3 linked regions of the Struthio camelus genome follow. The protein of the gene in region 2 interacts with the protein of the main gene of each other region in a pairwise test. Links are inferred from orthologs where the notes say so. Each region holds a gene or a part of one and is shown on either strand. Other genes may lie near its edges.

Region 1 (7,663 bases), on a different chromosome or scaffold from region 2:
AGCAATAGAAGGGAAAGGAGAAGCTGTAGAAACAGCAAGAACCCAATCTCTCTCTCTCTCTCTCTCTGAGAACTCCTTTGCCAACACAAAGAACAGGGCAAACATAAATAAACTATTAGGATGTTTGTGTGCTTTTGGAGGATAGCCCTCAGGCATCAATTTGGTGATAAACCCATCATTTTCAGATTAGCTGCACCCTCTGTGCTGAAGGTCTCAGTCACTACAGAGGAACAAGATATTGCTGCAGAAAACAATACCGAGCAAACACAGAGCTAGAAAATATCCACAAGATATCGTCAAAGTCAGTCCACCTATGACTTCTACTTCTTCCAGATCAGTGTCCAAGTACCTTATAGAAAAGTACAGTGCTTAAGCTACAGCTTCAGTACAGCTACTACGTATTGCACGCACCACCCTCCTAGAAGGTTGCTAGGTGTTTGTGAGCATAGGCTGCTTTTCAGAGAAACTCAAAGAGTAGCAGATTAAGCTACAGACAGAGTTGAAAAGATACTTTGACATGAATGTAAAAAACCAAAATCTAAAAAACAAAAACGTACTTTTTAACCATGACCAAATTAAACTCCCTAGGGTAAGGAAATGCAAAGATTACATCACGGATCATCTGGTTCTCAAAGGTCTTTTTCCACTAGTGCGGTTTTTGTAGCCAACACAGCAGTCAGACTGCAGTACTACGAAGTTCGGGAAGAAAGTTACATTTGAACACCATGCAGAGTTAGGTTATTGTTCAGTTATTGGAACTTCTGACCAAAAGCTGTGTTCACCCACTTGAAGCCCTGGACTGATTTCACACCCGATCTGGGAACCTGACTTTACAAAGAATTAACTTCCTAGAGCAGTCAAGGCCATTCACTAATCAGGGTCATTCACCCTTTAATTTCTTCCAAGTCCAGACTTAAAATAAAAAGCTGTACAGCAAGCTGTGAGGATCATTCAGACCCAAAATTGAGAGGACTGCTGAGATTTAGGCAGCAAACAAGAAGTAAAAAAAAACAAAAATACCCCCCACACACAAACCAAAACCCTTGCAGAATTTTAAATCCTGAGATGAGTTCACATCAAAATAAAAAAACCAGGACTCTATTATATCATCTCTCCAGGAAAATCCACTCCATTCTGAGTAAGGTAAAAGACCTTCTCCTTTCTCACCGAGTTCCACATTCCTGAACCACATTTCACTGAGAAAACACCAACAGCTCAGAAGACCTGGCTCAAAGCTCATTAGAACTTGCCTCAGCTTCCATGCAGACCTATAGAAGACATTATTTTGCAGACAACAATAAACATCATCTTTAATTCGCATCATGAACTTTATCAGTGATAATCAAGCCCCTTGCATTTTCCTAAGACAGATGCTTGTTTTACATATTACGGAGAAAAGAAACTGCCTCCAATGGCTACCAATTGCCCTGCAAATCAATTGCAATCAAACTTAAAAGCACCAGTTCAGTTCTGTCTTCCACCTATTAAACAAGGACGCTTTAGATACACACACACACCCCCCTCAAAGTAGACCTTTGTTTAGGATTACTGTTCAGCAAAGTCAAAAAAGATATTCAACAAAGCAAGTCAGAGCAGTGAATTTTCTTATTTCTGCTGAGGACCTGTTTTAATTTTCAGTCTAGATCAGATAATTAGTCCAACTATAGTTTTTACAGGTTTCCAGGAGCTGTTCAAGAAAAAAAAAAATAATAATAATATAATTCATTCTAGCTTTGTACTTCAGCGGAAAAAACATTTCTTCTCATTTATCTGACGTCTGGCGTAAACGTTAAAGCAATTTATGATGACATAAGGAACAAAAGGAAAATTTAACAGTTACATCCGTTTCATTTTTAGAATAAAGACGTGGAACAACCTCCTCTGAAAGGAGCTAGCGGCAGCACAATTCCATCCATTCTTTATAACAGACTTCAAACCAACCAGTGGAAAAAAAAAAAAAACCCAAAACGGACAACACAGCACCGTTTGCTGGATAGACTCGGGATGGAAAAAGGAAATGGAAAGGCAATTAACTTTTTGTTCCCCCCCCCCCTCAAATCCTTGATCATTTTAACAGCCAAAAGCTCCGAGTTCGAAGAAGCGCGCAGCAGCTGTCCAACTCCGACAGGTGTGCGTGCCCTCCAGCTGGGCCGCCAGCCTTGCGCCTTCCACCCCTGCTACCCTCTAACATCGCTTTTTTTTTTTTTATTTATTTTTTATTTTTACGACCGCGGTTATTGCCGTAACATCCCAGTACCACCCCGAGTGACTCAGTCTTGGTAAAAAGTCCTTGCCCAACAGGACTGGCCATCAGCTCGCCGGGCCCCGACGGACCACACCACCGAGGGCGATCCCCCCGCGGCGGGTTTCCAGCCGCAGCCAGGGAGCAGCGGCGGCGATGCCACCCGCGGGACGCGCTCCCCACGCGGGGAGAGCCGGAGCCACCCAGCAGCGGCCACTACGGCGCCACCCGCGTCGCTCTGCGCTGCGGGGGTGGGTGGGGGGGGGCGGACACCTCGCGGGCAGCCCCACTCGGGATCCCCCTCCCACGGCGGCTCCGGGGCAGCGCTCCCCCGCACCGAGCGCCTCCCCCTACGCCCCACGCGCCGTCACACGAGGACCGAGCAAGGCCGCACCCCCTCCCCACGCAGCTCTGCCTCCCGTGGCAGGCCCACGGACACCTCTTCCTCCCCCCGCGCGCCCTCGCACCCCCCGCTCGGGGCTGCCCCACGCGCCTCTCCACCCGCCGGGCGCGGCTCGCCGCCTCGCCACGGGGGCCAGGGAAGCTCCCCCCCCCTCCCCCTCGCTCCCCAACGGTCACAACGGCCCCCGCCGTCCCTCTCACCGTCGATGTCACCCAGCGTGAGCTCGTCGCCCAGCTCAGTCAGCGCCTCCATGTTCTCCGCGCCCAGCTCGCCGCTCTCCATCGCGCACGGGCCCGCCCCGCCCCGGCAGGCCGCACCAGGGCATGAACCGCCGCCGCCGCCGCTCAAGCCCGGGTTCCCGGCGAGCGCCGCCGACCCCGCGCCATCTTGGGCCGCCCACGGCCCGCCGGCCCCGCCCCCCACCTGCCCGCAGCTCCAGCCGCCGCTACGGCGGCGGCGGCAGCGGCGGCGGCGTCGCGCGCGCGCGCGCCTCCCGCGGTTTGTTGTCAATGAGACCAGGTCGCCCCTGACCAATCGGCGGGCGCGGCGGCGCGTGGTGTGATGGCGCGTCACCGATCAGCAGCTGCGATTAGCATAGCAGACCCCGCCCCCGCCTCCCCCTCCCCCTGCATTAGAATATTCATGAGGTGGGGGCGTGGCCGGCGGCGCGGGCGGGCTGCGCAGCGCCGAGCACCGCGCCGGTGGGTGGCGGGGGCGCTGCCCGCCGCAGGGCCCAGCCCGCACGGCGGTGCGAGGGAGGGAGGGAAGGAGGGAGGCTTCTTCCTGCCTCGGGGCTCCCTCCTCCTCACCCCCGAGGAGCGGCCATCGCGTGCCTTGAAGCCGCGTCGCACAACTAGGGTGGCCCCAGCCCCCTCCCAAGCGCCTCGCAGGGCCGGGTGGCAGGTGGCGACCAGCGCTGGATAAATCCGCCCCCGCGCGCCGCTGGACACGGGACAGTCCAGCAGGACGGGACCTCAGAGGTCTCTGCTCCAAGCAAGGCCCACTTTGGAGTTACACCAGGTTGCAAAAATTGCAGCAGGGAGGAATAACCAACTGGGTGGTTGCTGAAGGACCCCCGGCCCCGCACACCCCCGCATCCTTGCCATGTCCAGCAGCCTTTCCTCTCCCCCTGCCCGTTCACCGGGAGCCTCGACCAAGAGGGAGCTGCGGGCATGCGGCACCCTAGGGGGAAAATACATGATTTTGCAAGCTGAGGTGTTGCAGCAGCGCAGAGCCGCTCACGGCGCCTGTCGCTCCGCGGGCTCTCCGCGCCGTGACCCAACCGCTGGAGCCCGGAGAGAAAGCGATGGAGGAAATTAGCAGCTAACCTGCTCAGATGCTTTTGAAAAATCGTATTTAGGTGCAACTGCAGGCACCTAAATATCCTTGAACATCTCTCCCTGGGAGCCTAAAGGAGATTGCGAGATGGTGAGGAAGAGCGGCTCGGACCTGTTACAAAGCTGGCATGAAATCAGATGAAGGGGGAGAAACATTAGATTGAAAGCAGCAGTAAGTTTTGGAGGAAGGGGTTTTATTAAAAGGTGCTCCGATTTCCCAGGTAACCGGCTGGGAGAGTTGGCCTCATCCTTTTAGTATCTCCTCACTTAGGCACCTTCTAAAATAGCCAAAGCTACGGCCCGGAGACGCCCTTGGGCACGCGCCCCTTTTTGGGAGCGCTCCCACTGGGAACGCAATCAACACGCAGGCTTCTTTAAAAAAAAAAAAAAATCAGATTTATTCAAGAAAAACAAAACACTTCCCATCTCAACGCAAGTTCCCAACGCCCCCGTCGAACGTACCCGTCTCCGTATTTAAAAATAAAGGACGTTTCCCACCACTGGCCCCGTCAAGTCGCCCGAAGGCAGCTTGGGCGGCGTGGGAAAGCGCCGGTCCCGGGCAGGCGGGGGCCGACCGGCCGGCTCCAGCTCCTCCGGCACCGCCGACGCGCACCGAGGGAGCCGGGGGGAAGAGCTCCCTCCTCCCAGAGCCGCCCCCGGCCCCTCGCAGCAGGGGCGGCCCTGACCCCCCCCCCCCCAGCAGCGGGGTAGGTAGCGTTTGGATGGTGGGATTTTTTTTTTTTTTTTTTTGGAAAAGACTTCTGCAATCCAAAATACGGAGGGGGAGGGAAAAAAAAATCGGGTGGAAGGGGAAATTCGGCAACCCTGGCCGCTTCCACAACCAAGCCCCGTTGCGGTGCCAGGGAAAGGAGGGCGGAGAGGCCACGTCCGTCCCCGCGAGCGCCGCTTAATTCCCAATTTCCCTCCCGCCGTCCCCATCAGGAAACCCCTCCATTAGCCGCTCAGGGAAAACGGGGGCCGCGGCCCGGCCGGGAAAAAGGCTCTTTTGGCCTTTTTCAGCCGCCAGGGACGACAGGCGGGCGGCTGAGCCAAAGGGCGGCCAGGAGACGGGGAGATCCGGTGCATCGGCCGGGCAGAGATCGGGTATAACCGGGCTGGGGCGCAGGGAGCGGAAACATCACCGATTTAAAAAAAAAAAAAAAAAAAGAGGAAAAAAACCTCACAGAAGCAGCGTTGCCCACGAGGCCCCTTCGCTCCCGCCGCGAGCTCCCCGGCCCCCCCATCCCCTCGCCGCGGCAGGCCCGTTTCACGCCCCCGCGCCCCGGCTGGAGGGGAAGTTGGCGGAGGGGAAGGGGACGGGACGCCGCCAGGGGGTCCCCGCCGCCGGGGCCGGGGCCCGGCCCTACAAGTCGGACTGCGAGCGCGAGATGCGCGGGCCCTTGCGGATCTCCTTCCGCTTCTCCTCCTTCTTCCGCCGCTTCTCCTCCTCTCGCAGTGCCTTCTGCAAGGTGTCCGCGCTGGGGAAGAACTGAGCCGGGGAGGGGGGGGGAAATCACGGCGTCAGCCAGGAGGAGCAAGCCCCGAGGCCCCGCGGCCCCCGCCGCAGGAGCGGAGAGAGGAGGGCACGGTTTTGTACCCGCCAGCAGCTGGCACCAGCCTGGCCAGAGACGGGACTCCCTCCTCCGCTTCCCTTCCCAGCCACGCGCTCGGCCGTTCCCCTTCCCTCTCCCCCCCCAAACCTCCTCTTTCCCCACGGCACGAGGTGGTGGAGGAGGAGGAGAACCGCGGCCGCTTTGCCGTCTTACCTCGGAGTGGTCGGTTTTGAAGGGGTTGCGGTAATCGGGAGATTTCTCGCTGATTCCCAGCTCCTGAGCCATCTGCAGAGCAAAGCAAGGGCCGCGCGGCGGATGGCGGCGTCGCTCGTCGCCCGCCGCGTCCTTGCCTCCCCCCCCCCCCACCCCGAGCCTTCCCTCCTTTCTGGGCCCCTTCGCTCTCCCTCCAGCCCAAAGATGTCCCTCAGGCAGGGGAGACGCTCTCCAGCCCGGCAGGCACGGGAAGAGGCGAACGCTCCCTCTGCTTGCTCTCCCTTTACCCTCGCGCCCGTGCCCACGCTTTGCCCCCCCGGCAGCGGAGACGGGATACGACGGGCGAGACTCGGCCTTACCAGCCCCAGGACCTGGGAGTGGGGTCCCTGCTCAAACACCCCCGTCAGGTTGCAGAAACCAATCCCCCAGCGGATGAGGTTGTTCCAGTTGGAGTTGCGGTCGAAGTAGTGGTGCACGATCTTGGGGAAGCGCAGGACGACGTCCCCGAAGAAGGCCGTGTTCTCCACCACGTGGGAGTACGCTGCGGAGGAGAGCCACCCGGCCCTGTCGGCAGGCCGGCCCCACGCACTGCCCCGCTCCCGCCAGCCACGGTCCCCTCCCCAACCGCCAGGGCCCCCCACGCGTGGCCGGAGCACAGGGACGGGAGGAGAGGCTGCTTCCAAAGGACGCGGTGAGACTTCCCCTTCCACGTCCCGCCGCCTGCGGTTACGGACGCGCCGTGCGCCCAGCCCAGCCTCCTCGGGGGCTGACGTCCCATGATGGCTCCTGGCCCTCAGCAGCGGGGACGGGGCAGTTCCAGCTGAGGCTGGCTGGGGGAAGTCGAGGTTGGCTGCTGAGGTTGGATGTGGAGCAGATCCCGACAGCAGAGATCAGGGACGGGAGAGCTCACACAGGCTACAAAGCACCACATCAGCTCGGTGCCACTTGGGAAACGAGAGCAGGAAAGTCTAGAGACGGCTGCAACAGGCAGTGCCTTTGCCCTGTCCTAGCTGGGCAGCATGTTCTCCAGGGGCTTTGCAGGATCTACGTTTAAATCTCTGTTGTGATGAGGCCTCCTCTCCCCATATCCTTTGGGAGACTGCTGAACAAAGGCCTCCCCAGTGAAACTCAAATTCATTCAGAGTCATTTGCCCCTACCTCATCCTGGGAGCATCTAAATCCTAGTGGCAAAGATGGAGAGGCAGGGGGTAAATGGGCAGGATCCCCAGTATGAACTGGTCAGCGAGACCGTAATGGCTCCCCGATAGAAAACACCACAGGGACCAGTGGAAGATCCCCGTAGGGATCTCTGTAGGCAGCCCCAGGGATTTCATAGCTACCCTGGCACTGATCCCACACGAAAAGACAGAGATGCAACATAGCAATGGAAAAAGGAACGGGGGCAGAAGACCAGAGATGACCTACCATCTTTTAGCTTCTCGTCCTGAGGAAAAGGCCCATCTGGCGGCACATCTGCAGCTATTAGCACGGCCCGGGAGTCCTCCAGCACCTGAAAGGCTCTTGGTTACTGCCCATCCCGCCTGCCCTCCCCCCTTGCCCATCCTTGCCCCAACCTGGCCCTGCTCCCCTCTGTCCAAGGGCAGCCTTCAGGGGACCCCCTACTGCTGCAGCAGCCTACTCTGCCCCTCAGCTCGTCTCTTCAGCCCCACAGAGGCTCCCTGCTGCCGTTGCTTCTCCTGCTCGCCCTCCCCAGCGTCCCGGCCTGGGTGCAGCACCCAGCTCAGGGGCGAAGGGAGGGAGTGGGCAGCTCGCGCCAGAGCATGCCGAGCCCGGAGGAGAGCCTGCCCCGCGCCTCACCTTGAAGAGTCCCTTGAGCATGATGTCGATGATTTTGTACTGCTGGTTCACGTCGTTGAGCTCGATGAGGTTCTTCAGCGCGTTCATCTGGTCCTTG
Region 2 (8,031 bases):
TTGCACTTTCAGAAAGTTATCAACAATACCCACATGCATTTCAAGCTGCATTCCAAGATACTATTTACTGCTTGAAAATAATATGCTTAGAGGATTAAATCCAGAGCAGTGGAGGAAAAAAGAAATACGAGGCATAGTGAATGCTTAACCACTATTAAAATACTTTGAATCAGATAGCAAGACCAGATTAATTTAAAAATAGATCTTTCCAGTGATTTATTAAATATAATTGGTTAAAATGTGACATCTTAAAAAAATAATACTTAGTAATGCTTTGTTCTCTTCCTTTGTCATTCCACACATAAAAGCAAGGGCCTCCAAGCTGTGGTATGCCTACTATTAGAGGTATGCAAGGTACTTTAAAGCAGTATGCAAAACAAAACCAAAACAGCCCCTCATCTTTTCCTGCAGAAGAGAAGAGGAATGTCTATCTGGATGTTTGAGCAGTAAGAACTGCCCAAACACATTCTCATGTGCCTCCTCATGCCATGGCGCGACGCACTGTCTCCAGGTGAGAGGGGAAGGATCTAGAGGCCCCTCTCCTACGTGCAGATATGACCCAGAATGACCATGGGAACAACTATTACTTTCACAGTATTTAATAATTCTCCATGACAGTGATAAAATAAGTTCAGTTTGGGAACGTATGCACTAAGGGAGCTATTTCAGTTGCTGTATCTGTTCCTGTTCTGAAGTCATACAGGGCAGCGAAGCTATCGCTAAAGAATTGCGAAAATCCTGCTCAAAAGCTTTAAACACTCCTGGAAAGACATCAGGAGAAATGTATGCTATTAACCCAATATAATCGACCATTGCATCTTTGCAGGTTGTGGCACTTCTTATCTTTATAAAGTACAAAATAATAAGAGGGCACAAGTTGGCAGAACAGGATAAATTACTGGCTCAAGGTCACCCGGCCAACCCACAGCACATCTGAGATCCAGCTGGATTATACATGTTTCTCAGTCCTCGCTCTGAGGAAACAACTCTCTCTGTGCTGCACTGGGCTTTCAAAGCACCACTTTTTGCTTTGTTTGACCAAGAAGTCTGCATCCATCCTGAAAGGTGTTTGAATCCTTGCACTGTGCTGTGCTCAAAGTGGACCAAAGGTTGCCAGCACACGCCAGACCTCAAATGAGCAGCTGTGAGTAGCAGTGACATGGAAAACCAAAGTCCTTATGAGGGACTGGGTGATGCCAGAAGCAAAACTACATCAGGTTATTACTGTTTATGACCAGTGCTTACAGATGGTAAGCTGGGCACAGATAAGTTTAGACTGGTAACCAGAATACACTTCAACTGAAGACAAACACAGATCCAGCAGCAGTCCAGTCCAAAAATTCAACCTAATTTAAGAAGGGCAATGGTAAGCCTAAGAAAAGACATATCATGTTGCCAAGGGCAACAGCAGCAAATTACATTTGATGACCCAAGAGGTCTATTTTCTGGATATAGGAATAGAAGAGAAAAAGTTAACCACATACTTGCAGAATGTTTGGTCGACATCGTAAGCGAAGTCAGTTGAGACTTCTATTTTAATCGCACGTACTCAGACAGCTATTGAGACGGATTAGAAGTATTTATTTGTGAATACATAGAGAATACACTACTCAATAAGACAAGTGTCTCAAAAGGTAATAAGTCAGAGTCCAGGACAAGTAGCTAGCATTATAATTTCTTTTGCTGTAAGCAACCTGAAGTCTGCTGAGAGCTCCGGGTTCCCATATCAGCCCTGGATACCGTTCAATTACAGCAAGCACAAGCCAGCGCTGCAATCAAGAACAAGTTGTGGCATCCTGTTTATCCTACACCCACCACTCATTCCTGACCCCACACAGGCATCGACGCACGAGCACAGCTAGCGACACGGCCTACGAAAGAACTGATCTCAATGCAGTCTAACCCAGCCCAAAATAATTAGCTTTCATCCCTACCATATTCACGGGGTATTTAATGTATAACATTACACCGTTACTGATGGGCCTCTCTTTCATTTCCTCAGCTTGGGAAAAAGAAAAACCTAGGGAAACAGTACTTCTGTGCAAACGTTTTCACAACTCTCGGTGCTCAAACGTTTAGGTTTCAAGCACAGATTAACCAGTTCCTCGGATATTTACCAGAGACCTTCAGAACACTCCCAGGCACTTTCAGGGCCCAGCTTCAATTCTGCCCCTCTTCCTACCAAGTTTAAAAGTCAGCCAGACTTTGGAGAGATCTTTTAAAAGCCAGAGGCCGGTAAAAGGCAGCATCCCCGGTACGCGGCACCGAGCGCTCCGGGGGGGGGGGGTGACCCGCTGACGCCGGCCAGGCCGGCCCCGCAGCCGCTGCCTGCCCGGGGAGGGCCCTGGGAAGGCCGTTCATGCCCTGGGGCACCTGCCGCCGGCGCTCCGCCAGCCCCGGGGCCGCACACGGGCCTCCTCGCCCCTACCCCCCCCCCGCAGCCCCGGGCGCGCCCCACCCCTCCCCTCCCCCCGCTCCGGGCCGCTCCGGGCCGCTCCGGGCCGCGCGGGGAAACGGTTCGGTTTCCTGTCCTCTCCCCGGTCCGCCCCTCGGCAGCCAATCAGCGCGCGGCACCCCTCGCCCGCCTCCCCCCGCGCCGGCCAATCAGCGGGCGCGGCGCTGCCAATAGGCGCGGAGCATGGGGGAGGGGAGAGGAGGGGGGAAGCCCTCGGGCCGCTCCCGCCCCGCGCCCCCTCACGGGCCCCGGACTCCCCCCGCCCGCACCCCGCGCACTCACCGGGGTAGCCAGCGCCGCCACTTCCGCCTCCTCCGCCCGGCACCCGCGCTGCCTCCGGCCCGGCTGAAGGGAGGCGGGAAGGAGGGGGGGGAGGGGGCGACCAGAGCGGAGCGAGAGCCCAGCGGCCGAGAAACAAGATGGCGGCCGCTCCGTGAGGCGGCGGCGGAGCGGCTCCGCCCCTTTCCCCTGGGCCGCGGCCCCTGCGCAGGCGCGTGACCCGGGGCGGCTCTCGCGAGACCGCCGTTGGGCGCGGGCAGGCCGCCGCCATGGGCGGAGCGGCGGGCGGGGCCCGCGGCTCGCCGGGAGGGGGCTCCGGTGCCTGCTGGCCTCCGGGGGGGCACCCGGGCCGCCGCACGGCCTGGCCTGGCCTGGCCTAGCCTAGCCCGGCCTGGGGCCTTCCCCGGCTCGGTCCGCCCCCGGCCTAGGCCGCCCCCCCGACCGGGCTGGGCCCCGCCGGTACCGAGGCTCGAGGCCCGGGGCCGAGGCGAGCGGCCGCTCCCCCAGGCCGCGCTGCCCTGGGCCCCGCTCGTGCGGCGGCCGGGAAGGGCCCCCGGGCGAGGAGCTGTCCAACTCGCTTCGCGTCGGCCCCTGGGCCGTCCTCGCAGCCGCCTGCTGCTCTCCTGCCCCAGCTGGAGCCGATTCAAGCAAAAGTCTGTGCTCCAGCTCGGCCATCCCGCTTCCCAGGCGCTGCTTTTCTGGCTCCGGGGGATGTGTTACACTGACGTGTGACTCATGCTGCTTCAGTGCTTTTCCCATGGAAAAGTGTATCCTGAAAAACGACTCTAAAGCGGTACTTCTTGGCTTCCTTATTGTCCCCCTGGTGCCCGAGTTGATTGCATCCAACTTACAGCTAGAAGGAGGTTTTGCCTGTCTGGTGCTTTAATATCATTGGTCATGGGAAAGCAAAGCCAGGTCCCGGCTGGCTCCTGTGCTTCCACTGACCCTCTCTGCAGAGTTTCTGAAAATGGAGACGTCTGCTGACGATTGGCATGTTTCTGGTACAGTGCTTCATTGCGTATGGTTTGCACCCTACGTGAGAGAGGAGAAAGAGCCCTTGCTGCAGGCACAGTCAGTGTCTGTGGTTTCTGTTGCATGACATTTGCCCAAAGGTAGGAAATGCAACAAATCTCTGCGGTCGCATATGTGGTTTCAGAACCAGGCTGTCCTGAAGACTGTGTGTTGGCACTGAAATGGGAGACATCGTGCAGTGAATTCCTGCAGTTTTGTTGAAATTTTTGCGACTTCACGACCTCAGGGCACTTGCAAGGCACAGCAGCCAAGAGAAATAAAATACATGCCACAGTTATTTTTATTAATTCTCTCTCTCTTTTTTTTAATTCTCTCTGAGCAGGGCTTCAGCTCTCGTTGTAACGTTCGAGAGTGGTGATACATGTTATGTTATACAGCCCCCTCTTCAAAATGACTCATTTATAAATCAATTAGCCAGTGATGCTGCTGACTTTGCTGCCAGGCACAGCTGTGGAACAAACCAGCTGTTTTTCCTGCCGCTCAGCAGGCCCCACTCAAGGGGTTTCTACACAATGCCCCACTCCTCCTCCAGCTTAATTCTATTGTGCGCTATTGCACTAAGCCCGCGATGCTCTGTTTCCTTCCCACCTGCTCTCTCAGCAGCAATGGCTGCATTGTTCAGAGCAGCTCAGCTTCCCCAAGAAGGCTTGTAGCCCTCTGCAAACACAGAGGTCTCTGTGCCAGCCTACCCAGAACGTGGAGGAGCCAAGAAAAACAAGGAGAAAAATGCTTTTTTCCGCTCTCTGATTTACTGGTGCTTACATAAATTTCTTTGTGGTTTGTTGATTTCACACTTACCGACATCTGCTACCTGCTCAGCCCATTCTCTCCTGCATCAGCAGTAAGACCCAGAGGAGCTTTACTGCACTCTGGAGCCAGGTTTCAGAAGGGCTGAATTTATTTGACACTTGTGAAAATTGCATCTTACAGCAGAGGTTACATGCCTGGCCCTTTGCCTCGATTCGGCCCTCTCCTATCCCATGTGACTCCCATTACAGCTGAACTCTGGACTAATCCCAAGTGAGCTATTGCTTTGGGGCAATAATCCCCAAGAAAAGAAAAGTTTAGACTCCCCTGATGTATTACAAAAAAATGGCAATGAATTATGTACTGGCATCTGACCGGACACAGACACACCATCTTGTAGATCTAGGGGAAAGAGAAGGTAGCTGAGGCCAGATTTTGGGGCCCTTTAGTCCAGCAGGCTGCCCCATTTCCTGTGTCACATCCAGGGTCATACCCACCCCGTGACTGCAAACCATCCTTCCGAATTTCCCCAGGGCTCATAACCTGGCACATCTCCCACTTTGGGACCATCTTTATTCTATTTAAGTATTAAGAGTGTACCTCAATATGTGTGTACACATGCACACATGTTTTTGGAGGCTTTGTAGAAACCTTGTCCCTTAAATTGAACAGAAAAACACGTCCCTTTGGGTGCCATCCTGTGGTTTGGGCCGGCAGTGTCGGGACAGGGCTCCTCAGCAGGGGACAGGGCCCCCTCTGAGCTGGTGCCAGGAAAGCGGGTGTTTTATTGCAGAGCGGAGCTGCTCCAAAAACTGGGAGCCACGTGGAAGCACCCTGCACCCTGACTTGCTGCCTCAGCTCTACCGCTATTTAACTGCTTATTTCCTAGTGCCCCAAACGTGGTGTGCAGCGAAAAGCAGAGCAGTTAACGGGACACGCTCTCCTAAGCTGCTGCGTTCTCTGCGCTGCAAATCCAAACTCGTATCAGGTAACAGCACAAAGGCTGCTTGACCAGCCCAGCCACTTTGCATAGAGCGTTTACACATTTCACAGCTTGTGACAGAAGTCATTAAAAACCCGCAGGGTTATGAAATCTGTAAAGTTTACTTCAAGAGCTGCAAGAGAGCCACTCGGAGCCAAGCCACTCAGCCCAGCTCCAGCAGGGAGACCTGATTTCCAGGGAAGCACTTTCCTCTCATCTTCCCGGAGTGGGGAGAGGATGCAGCTCCCACCTAAAAGCCGGGACTCGGGTCAGCTCAGTTGGTCCCACTGCAAAGATCCAGTCGGTGTCTCTGCTCCCAGGTCCAAGGGTGGGTTTCCCAAAGCCCGGCACATCCTGGCTGGAAGCAGACAGGACAGCTGCTAGTGTGCTAGCGCCTGTTGCCTGGCTGATCCCCAGCGCTGATCAACCACGCTGGCTCTCCCAGTAGGACACTGGTGAGTCCACGTGACCCAGTTGCTCCCTGCAGAACGGTAAAAGGAGATTTTGCAGCATCTCACTGCAGCTCTTTCTCCTGCGAGAAGTGGGACACGTTGCAGGAGCAACGGAGAAGGCTGCAGGAGCTGACGCAGCACCGACAACCTCCCCGAGCATCGTGAGCAACGCGTTCCTCCCCGTGGGCAAGGGATCCAGCCGTGCCAAGGGGACGGGAACGGCCAGCCTGCCCTCCAAGTCACCCTGCCCACCCAGGGGCCACCCCACCGCCTGGCTCCGGACAGCGACTAACCCCTGCCCGGGAGGCAGTGTTATTTTGGAAAAGCCTTTCCAAAAACACACCGTTTCTGCCCACCGTTTAACTCTTCTTCCCCTCCCGCCAGTCCCAGGGTAAACCATCCTCTCCCCACAAACCTCTCGACAAGGTGCAGGGCTCTCCCCGAGGGCGCGCGGCATGCCGGGCTCGCCCACACGGGACGTCCTGGCTTGGGGAGCCCACAAAAGCCGGGCTGCGAAGCTGCTGCCTCGTGCGGGCACGCTCTCTGCAGGAGGCGGCGCCGGGCTCTCCTGGCGCCCGCTGCCACCTCCACCGCACGCTGCCAGCGGGCCCTTGAATCCCCTTACGTGGGCCTTAAGGGAGTAATCGCATTAAACAACCCCCTTTTCGTCTACACAAAACCAAAACCTAAAGGAGGCGGCGGGGAGGATCTGACAGATCAGCCAGCAGAGCTCCTTAACGAATTAAAGAGAGGGGGGAGAGCTGCAGCGGGATCCCGACACCAGACTTAAGCCTGGGGCTTTCGTCCATCCTGCTGTTTCGGGGTGAAGGGCAGCCCGGGGGCAGCCTGCAGCCCCCTCGCTCGACCCCGCTTCCCCGGCCAGCGGGCGGGCGGACGGCGAGCCCCGCGGCCCTGCCGGCGCGAGGACGGCCAGCCGTCCCGGAGCAGCCTGCCAAGCAAAGCAGAAAACCAGGGAGGCGGTCAGAAACTTTCGTATCGGTAAAAATCGCATATTTTTTTTTTTCCTTCAATATTGCTGTGAAACTTCATGTTTTATAACCGAAACGTGGCCGTCGAAAAGCCGAAAGAGGAGAAGCTTTCCACCGTCTTGAGGCGCTTGTTTTAGCTGCCTTTTCCCCCAAAACAACAGGTGCCCAGAATTGACTCTTTCCCGCACAACGCTGGAAATTTGCTTTGATAAAACAGCCTTTTCTACAGAGATATTTTCAGCTAGTATTTCTAAATATTACTCACAAAGGCCCCCTCCAGACAACCTCTCTCCCTCCCCGGGTTTGTTTATACGCGTTGAATTCTGTGAGGAAAGCATCTCCCTGCTTCAGCTATGTTTTATCCAAGTTTTCCATATTTAGTTCTTTCAGCCATTCCTGCTCCTCGGTCCGCGTCCCAGCGCCCGTCCCAGCTCTCCCGCCGTCCCCTTGCCCCGCAGCGGCTGCAAGGGGAGTTATTCCCCCGTCCTCCCCGCCACGGACGGGCGCTGGCCGAGCGCCGCGTCCCGCTGCCTGGCGGTCCAGCATCACCCCCAGGCACCAGCCCTGATGCAGGCAACCACCAGATAGGTGTTTTCTGAAGCCAGTGGTGCCACCTGGGACTCAAAGAGTACCGAGGGAGAGCCCCAGCCCCGGCGCTCGCTCCGTCCTCTCCCTCTGCCCCCCGGCAGTACCTGCCTGTGCCCCGTCTCCCCGACCAGCGGAGCGTTTGCGCAGGCGGGTCGGGGTCGGCTGGTTGGCAGCGGGCACCCGCGGCGGCCACCCGACCCCGCGCCAGCGCCCCGCAGAAAGCCGAGCGCGGCAAAGGTGGGCACCGCTGCCCCGGGAGCAGCCGGGCTAGCCGAGTCCGGTGCTGTTTTAGGGATGGACAGAGTTAAAGTCAGCGAAGGAGGGTTTCCTCCTGGCACGTGGCTGCCATTTCAGCCGTGGTGCGCAGCCTGCAGAGGCAACGCAGGGAACGCGCTGGAGGAATTTACCACCAGTAAAAAGAGACGCCGCTTAGAGGAAAATTAGTGTTTGCATTCAGAGAGCCAAGGTGATTCCAAGGTCAAAGCGGGAGCTGGGACTGCGCCTCTG
Region 3 (7,676 bases), on a different chromosome or scaffold from region 2:
GCGCATCTACCAAATCAGATCTCTCATGGGATGCAAGCAGCCATTGCTGTCCTTTCCCTATGTTGGTTCACAGCACTGTGCAGGGCAAGTGTTTGTGCTACCACACAGTGAGACGGGGCAGGGAATTCCTCCCCCTGAACACAGCCCAGCAAGGAAGAAGGCTCTAGTTCACCACATGGTCACACAATCGTTTTCGCTAGCACAGCGAAGGAGCAAGTGACTTATGCACCACTGTTGCCTACAGTGACAAACTGCAGTTTCACATTACCTCCACCACAGTCTAACTGCAGGGTGTCACCAAAAGGAGCAGATCTACCTTCTTTCCTCATCCTCCTTCCCAGTGAAACGCCTTCCCTGCCCGTTGCACTCAATTTAGTAACTGCATGTCTGCAAGAGTCAGATCAACAAGCTCACCTGATAGAAAACTATGCACCCTCCCAATTCCAACTGCCCCAGCTCACCCCGCGGCTGTGTGATTGCTAGATCCAGCTCCAGGGAGGGCACAGAACAAGGCTGCTTTTGACAGCAGCTGCTATTTAGACTGGACCAGGTGTGACGTGACATACCTTAGCCTCCTTTTACTTCTAAATAAGCTAGTTTAAGCAATTGAAAGGACTAAGATATCTAGATGACCATAAGACAACAACGTATTTGTGTATTACTGAATTTGTTAGCATCACTGTGGCAAAACCATGCCAAGAGGTATTCAAACTAGCAAACATCTAGGATGTATGAAGACCTAATTACAAATATGCTGAAATGCTATGGCTATATACACATAACCTCAGCAGTTCCAAAATGACTGATCTAAATCCTCACACTCCACAGAGAGATCATCTGCTAACTGACCACTGTCTGGAAGAAGTGAATAGCACCTGCACATCCTTAAAGATAAGGACAAGAGTAAATCCAAGAACAACTCCTTCCTCCTCTGGAGTATCATAAAAAGGATACACCTCCAAGCTTTATTTGGTAAAAATGTGACTAAAATGGACAGATCTAATTTGAAACTAACCTTTTTTTAACCCTGGAATCTGATGATAAAAAGACATAGAAGGAGGCATAGACAAAATATTTGCTTGGGGACCATCTCATGATGATATATGCACCGTCCTAAGATTTCAACTTCTACTTACTCTTACAGTTTTGGATATCCTATCAAAAAAGTGTCATTTGTTTTCAAAAATCCAGACTAACCCTAGGATAGCAACAAGCGAAAGTTTTCCAAGAACCACTACTAATGGGCAGAAAAATACTTTAAGTGAACTATTTATTGTCCTGAACCTTAAAGACCATCTCTAGTCTTATGTGAAGGACTGAGCTCAAATCTTTTGGTGATCACGTGAAGAAACTTTCTATGTATTAAGAAGCTTCATATCACAAGTATATTTCCACGCGTAAGCAAAAGTTTCACCCTTTACATCCTGAACTTCTGTAATTGAGCTGCTTTTCTGAACTTCCTGTTACCAATTTTAAAATGCATGCTTTTAACGTTCAACATTAAAGCTCATATATAGTATTTTCTTCTGTTGTTCAAAATCCAGTCAGCTACTGAAACGCTTCTGGTGAGCAAGCTGGCATAACACAAAGGAATCTGATTTTGGGCTTTTTTTTTTGTTTGGTTTAAGTAGAGAATCTATTAGCCTGTTACAAAAACAAAGCATACAAAAAATATATCGTTTTCCCATTAACCCGATACCTTTGCAGCCCTGGAAAGAGCTCTACTGCAAATACTACTCTTAACAGCTCTACCAGGCAGCACAATGAAGCACTTTGGCCACCTTCAATATCATTGCTACCCATTTGTTTGCAGCAGACATGGATATCGACAACCTTTGCTTAAGCAGCAAAGCGAATGAAACCAGATACGAATGAAACTGGACAGAAGAAGCCCACTCGAGATTTCAGCATAAGGTTAAAAAAAGTCTTCCTGTTTGTGGAAGAATTTAAAGAAAAACGAATGAGGGAACTCTCTTTTTATTCAGCAAGAGGAAGTGCAAGTCAACAGCAGAAAAAGATGCAGTAGCATATGTCACGTCCAAACGCTTCCTAGAGCGGGTAGGAACCCTCGATTCTTGAGCCATCCAGCTGCGCGGGCAGCCCCGTAGGTGTGTTTTGCTCCTTACGTGACCCAGGCAAAGAGACTGGACTGAAGACCGGGCTCCGCACCGCCCCCGCCACCTGCCCCGACCTAGCCCTTTTGGGAGTCTCCAGCCAGAAAGACGTCTCAGAAGCGCAGGCTCCCCAGGCGGTCTCCGGCTCTAAGGAGCCGGCCTCGCCTCGCGGCCGCCGGGAGGGCCGAGGCCGCGCTCCGGCCGCAGAGGCGCAGGGCGAGCGGCAGCCCCGCGCACAGCCCGCCCCGGCGGCGGCGGCGGCGGCGCCCGCGCTCTCCCTCCGCGCCCGCCCGCCCGCCGCGGCAGGACGACAGGCGGCTCCGGGGCCGGCGGGAACTTGCCTTGAATGACGTGCTCGGGGGAGATGGTTTTCTTCTCCGACTTGTTGCAGATCTCGTTGGCCTCGGAGGAGATGAGGTGGATGAACTCGGTGCAGCAGTTCACCACCAGCTCCCGGGCGTCGTTGGCCACGCGCACGTTGGGCAGCGTCTCCTTGATCATCTTGTTGATGGCCGCCCGCGGGATGGTGAGGTCGTCGTCGTTGCCCGAGGACGAGGCCATGCCGGCTGCCGCTCGCTCCCCGAGGGGCGCTGCGCTCCCGCGCTCACCGCTCCCCCTCGGCCGCCGCGCGGGGCTCCGGGGCGGGGCGGCGGCGGGGGGGGAGGGAGGGGGGTGCGAGGCGCGGCGCGGCCGCGGCGCGGACGGACGGGCGGGGTCGCGGGCCGGTGCGCGGAGCGGGCGAGCGCTGCCCCGGGCTCAGGGCTCCCTCGGCCGCGGCGCCTGCCACTGCCGCCTCCGCCACATCCTTCGGGGCGCCGGCGCCGCCGCCTTATGACCCGCGCGGAGGGCAGCGGAGCGGCCAAATCGGCGGGGCGGCGCGGCGCGGCGGGGCACGGCGGCTCCCCCGGCCGGCGGCGGCGGCGGCGGCGCGGGCTGAGCACGGGCTCGACCTGCCAGCCACGGCGCTTCCGCCGGAAGCCGGGTCAAGCTTCCGCCGCCGCCGCCTGGCCCCGCCCCGCCCCTCGCCGCGACCGCCGGAAGGGGGCGGGCGGCGGCGCCGCACGGCGGGAGGGGCCGGGCCGCCTGGGAGCGGGGGGCGGCGCTACGAGCGGGGCGTGAGCCCGGCGCGGGGGCGGCTGCTGCGTGGCGCGGCCCTGCCGGGGCCGCGGGCTGCCGCGCGTGGCCGGCGGCGCTCCGTCACGCCCGGCGGCAGCGCGGAGGGCCGCGCCGGGCCAGCCGCGGTTGAAACTAGGCTGCTGGCCTGGTCTGAGTCGAGTTGCGGCGCTAGGGGGAAGAGAAGGGAAAGGGAAGGACCTGCACCTCCTGCTTACGGTACTTCTTAGGGGGGCTTGGGGAAAGGACAGCCGCCGAGGACGGCTCCTGCTGCCGTAGCGAGTTTCGTGTAATTTTCCTTTTAAAAGGGGAAGCAAAGCCACTCCAGTGTTTTTAACGTCGAAATTGCCCAAGGAAGGGAACGGATTCACATTAGTTTTTAGTGATAAGGTTCTGTTTTTGCAGGAAATACAACAAGGTAAGAAGCAATTGAAAAAAAATGTTATTGTCCACTAGTTGTAGTCAGCAAGTAACCACTGCCTATAAAGCAAGTATTCATAACGTGATATATATATATATATATGTAAAAATAATATTAAAATACTCTAGTTGCACTTTTTAAAGGATTGACGAGTATTTTTCTTGTATATTCTGCAGTTAGTCCTGATTTCTGGAAGTGTGATGCTACTGTGATTGAGGAGTTACCATACTAGTAAGCAGAAGGATAAAATAATTTTATGATTTGAGAATCTATCCATAATTTACATGCAGTACACATCTCAGGTTATGTTATAGTCTAGTAAGTGAAGGGGATCAGATTAGTATTTAATACATAAATGTCAATTAATGTTCACATTTCCACAAAAACTGATCTCTGTAAAAGGCAAGAGCTAAACTGACCAAACCTGTAGAAGATTTTACTTTCAAGAGTCTGGAAACTGTAAAGTTCAAGATAAATAAACTGAGCTGAATATCTTAGCTAAGCTCAAACAAACATCTTGATTGCCTTTTTAACAATTACAGAGCAAATACATTTTAATAACAACATACTGTGTTATCAGTAGCTAGAACAAATTATTCAGATGTACACAGAATAAACTGGCATTTATTGTGAGGGTTTTCCCAGGTCAAAGCTCTTTCTACTTCTCCACCTTAGCAGTTTGATAAAGTTAAGACTCGCGCTGAAGACTTTGTCATGATGAAAAACCATTTTGTAGAATGTATCAATGGGTAGATCTCCATTTGGATCTGCATACTTCAGAGTTGTCATCGGAGTATACAAGGTGTTGGTCTGATGGCGAAAAGGCGGATTCTCTGCAAGAATTATCTTTACTGTATGCTGTCAAGAACGAGAAAGTAAATCGTTAAAGAACTTTGAAAATCATTTTTTTAAATTATTATTTTGATAAGTTAGGCAGAGGAAGAGTGGGAGAATAAATTTTAGAGTTGTGTAAAACCCTGTATGAAATTTAATTAGAATTTAATTAGAATTGTTTCTTAGAACAATTTTAAGCCAAAAGAAAAACTTCTTATTTCTTCTTAATCCTATTTCTGTTCATCTAGACTATGGTGATGACACCTTACACCTAAGTGTACTGAGTAGTCCTTCAAGATTATCCATGTAGGCCCTCAATAGATAGATACCTCCTTTTACAGTTCACTGGAAAAGGGTGAGAATGGTGCACTTTGCAACAAGACCCAGGAAGCTTCAGCTGACACCCAAGCTATCCCTTAGCAGCCAGCACCTGAAGTCATTGTTCTCTCCCCCAACTTTCCAGACTTTGCTTCCTGCAGAAAGCCTCAAACAACGGAAACTATATCCTTTATTGTACCTTACCGGTTTCACAACTGTCTTTTAAACTCTTTGGTAATTCTTAAATTACAACACACACATCCCCTCGCCCCCCCCCCCCCCAAAAAAAAAAAAGAGAATTGTTGATGAGTTACCTCTGCAACATCCTCAGCACTTTGCCCCAGGCTCTGGAAAATTTGTTTGTAATTTTTAAGGTAAATGTTAGTAAACATCTCAGCTGTTTCCTTGTCTGCAGCTGAAAGATCCATTTTCATTCCATCTTCAAAAACTTTTCTTTCAAACTCTGTGACCACTGGGCCGGGTTCAATCAGACTTAACCTGTTCAAAGAGCAAAGATACACTGGTTATAGAGTCTTCTGCATGGGAAATACATGCAGCTATCCTTCTTAAAGGATATTGAATAGTTACAGTACCCGTTAGCAAGCAATATTGAATGGTACACTCTGTAATGGTGATCCATACCACATTTCTGGCCTGCAGCTCTTACCCATCCGCGTGTAGATGTAGAAAAAAAGGATAATTTAATTTCTGGGAAGCGTTCTAACTTAGTTTGTGGCAGAACTGAGTGCAGTTGTTACCTGCTGTCTAACAACTGTGGAATCTGAGGATGATTAAGCCATGAGATCTCCTCAAAGATTAAGAAAAGCAATTTAAGGATGATTACAAAATTCATTACTTTCCGGACAAAATCCTACATAGATTTCTTTACCATAGCTTTCACATGATAATACTCAAAGTAAATGAAAAAAAAAAGGTGAGGGAGGGAGGGGGGGGGAAGGAAACTGCCCAAATAGATTTTCTTTGTCAAGCCTTCAGCGTTACATAATTGCAGAGCACTCTATAAAATTATATAAAATACAATATGGAGATTTTTGCTGTGGATGGACAGATTTTGGCTGCTGCCTTACCAGATATCTGGAAAATCAGATTTTGATCAGTAATGTATTATAGCAAATCACTGAAATACGTACACTTACTGACCAACTGTTTTCCATTTCTACTCTCAGGTAGTACTTACCTCCAGCCACCATGCTTATGAAACAACTCTTTTGGATAGGACTTTTTCGTAGAGATGACTTCTGCTCAGGCTCTTCTTTAGAACTACTAACCTTAGAAGCTACTGACCTTGACAGCAGAATTCCAGCTGCTGCTGGAATTACAGCCTTTTCGCTTGCGTAATATAATCATTTAAGCTGTCAGTCTCCTCACTGGGCCTTGGACTTTTTCCATTCTACTTGCTGGGCACCACGTTTTGTTTGTTTACCTCCTTTCCTCTGTATCTCAGAGTCTTGAAATCTTATAAATTCTATCATACCCTGTATATCATTACATCATGACTTTTCAGAGCTGGGTGCAAAACGCCCATTTGGATGCAGCTTTGTCTCTGGAATCACGTGAAAGCAGCTGTCTCTTCTCCCACAGCACAAGGGCTAAATGCTCCGGCATACACAGGTGCACTGGATGTTTAACAATTGTTGGACTTCACACATACAAAGTAGCAGCAAAGTTTCATCCTGTAATATGCCAATGTGAATGTATAGGTGACAAATCAGACACCTAAATCCCACAGGCCACCGACTGGACCATTCTCTTAAATACTGTCTTAAACAGTAAGAAAATACTACGCTGCAACACTAAATTGTTCCTTGCCTTCCTTTTACCTCCAGCCCCTAGGGGTTATCTCAGTCTGTGTGCCCTTCTGATGAATTTCCACTGCATTCTCTCTGTTATGATGCCCTTGAACTTTTTAATCTTTGGATTGTCTAAGAAATAAAGACTCTTATCCTTTCTAAAGGAAAGTATTACAGGTTGGTATTATAATTCTATTCAAATGGTATCGTATGCAAGAATCGGTATTTTTAAGAAGTACATTGACCTCTATTTTGTTCAAAGCTAAACAGCCTTACGCTATTCAAGATAACATGCTTCGTTAGCATCTAAGCCTTTTTAAGGGTTTGTTTCATTTGAAGGATGAGAACATTTCTGTGCCATTTGTGGTGTACAGTTGCCATGGGTTCCTCAGTTTGTTTCTCCTAGACAGTAGCAAGCTTAAAACATTTGTTTGCTAGCTCTGAATACATTTTAAAACTAAAATATAGTTCACATCTGTGGATCCATACTTACTGGAGCTTAAACTTGAGTGCCTGTATAGCTAAGCTTTCGCAGAATCCTTCCACAGCAAACTTAGACGCAGCATAAACATCATTAAATAAGATACCTGATGGCACAAACAAAACATCCAGAGAATGTGATTGTATGCGACATACTTATATTGTAGTTCTTTGTTATACTAATCTTTTAGTTTAAGAACCACTTGTATTTTCCCCAAATTTCTACAGTCTTGCTGGGAAAACATAAAAAAATCCTTGTTTATGTCAATCTAGTGAGCTAGTTCTAGCAATATTAAATATTGCTGATTTTTGTCACGTGAACTCAAAATTACTTATTCTAGAAAAGGGTACTTGACGAGGTCTTTTCCCCCTCCTAGTTGATGCTGGGGTCTTTTTGAATTATACTAAATATTTTTTAGCCTAATGTACGAAGGTGTCTATACATACAATACCATCTGCATTATTCATCAGCAAGACTTTAATAGGCTGTAGAGAAACACAGAAGCTGAGTGCAATGCAGGGGATAAGATAATACAAGAGATCCAGCTTGCATCTGAGGGACTTTGAAAAAGCAGGACATCAATC

Evidence for each region.
Region 1: the proteins of NFYC (region 2) and SREBF2 interact in binary tests that used the Homo sapiens proteins (3 or more experiments, as listed by UniProt). The link is inferred for Struthio camelus from reciprocal best matches to the Homo sapiens genes NFYC and SREBF2.
Region 3: the proteins of NFYC (region 2) and DR1 interact in binary tests that used the Homo sapiens proteins (3 or more experiments, as listed by UniProt). The link is inferred for Struthio camelus from reciprocal best matches to the Homo sapiens genes NFYC and DR1.

The regions. Positions count from the first base shown.
Region 1 is NC_090942.1:56,592,851-56,600,513, forward strand, and holds the start of SREBF2 (sterol regulatory element-binding protein 2), read right to left. Parts: upstream 3,054-7,663; 5' UTR 2,928-3,053; coding exon 2,846-2,927; intron 1-2,845. Other genes in the region: CCDC134 (coiled-coil domain-containing protein 134), read right to left, coding at 5,346-5,471, 5,749-5,820, 6,108-6,289, 7,174-7,258, 7,567-7,663.
Region 2 is NC_090964.1:8,945,681-8,953,711, forward strand, and holds the start of NFYC (nuclear transcription factor Y subunit gamma), read right to left. Parts: upstream 3,009-8,031; 5' UTR 3,006-3,008; coding exon 2,738-3,005; intron 1-2,737. UniProt on the Homo sapiens protein: Component of the sequence-specific heterotrimeric transcription factor (NF-Y) which specifically recognizes a 5'-CCAAT-3' box motif found in the promoters of its target genes.
Region 3 is NC_090949.1:18,518,144-18,525,819, forward strand, and holds the start of DR1 (protein Dr1), read right to left. Parts: upstream 3,069-7,676; 5' UTR 2,676-3,068; coding exon 2,456-2,675; intron 1-2,455. Other genes in the region: retinol dehydrogenase 8, read right to left, coding at 4,273-4,506, 5,115-5,298, 7,105-7,198. UniProt on the Homo sapiens protein: The association of the DR1/DRAP1 heterodimer with TBP results in a functional repression of both activated and basal transcription of class II genes.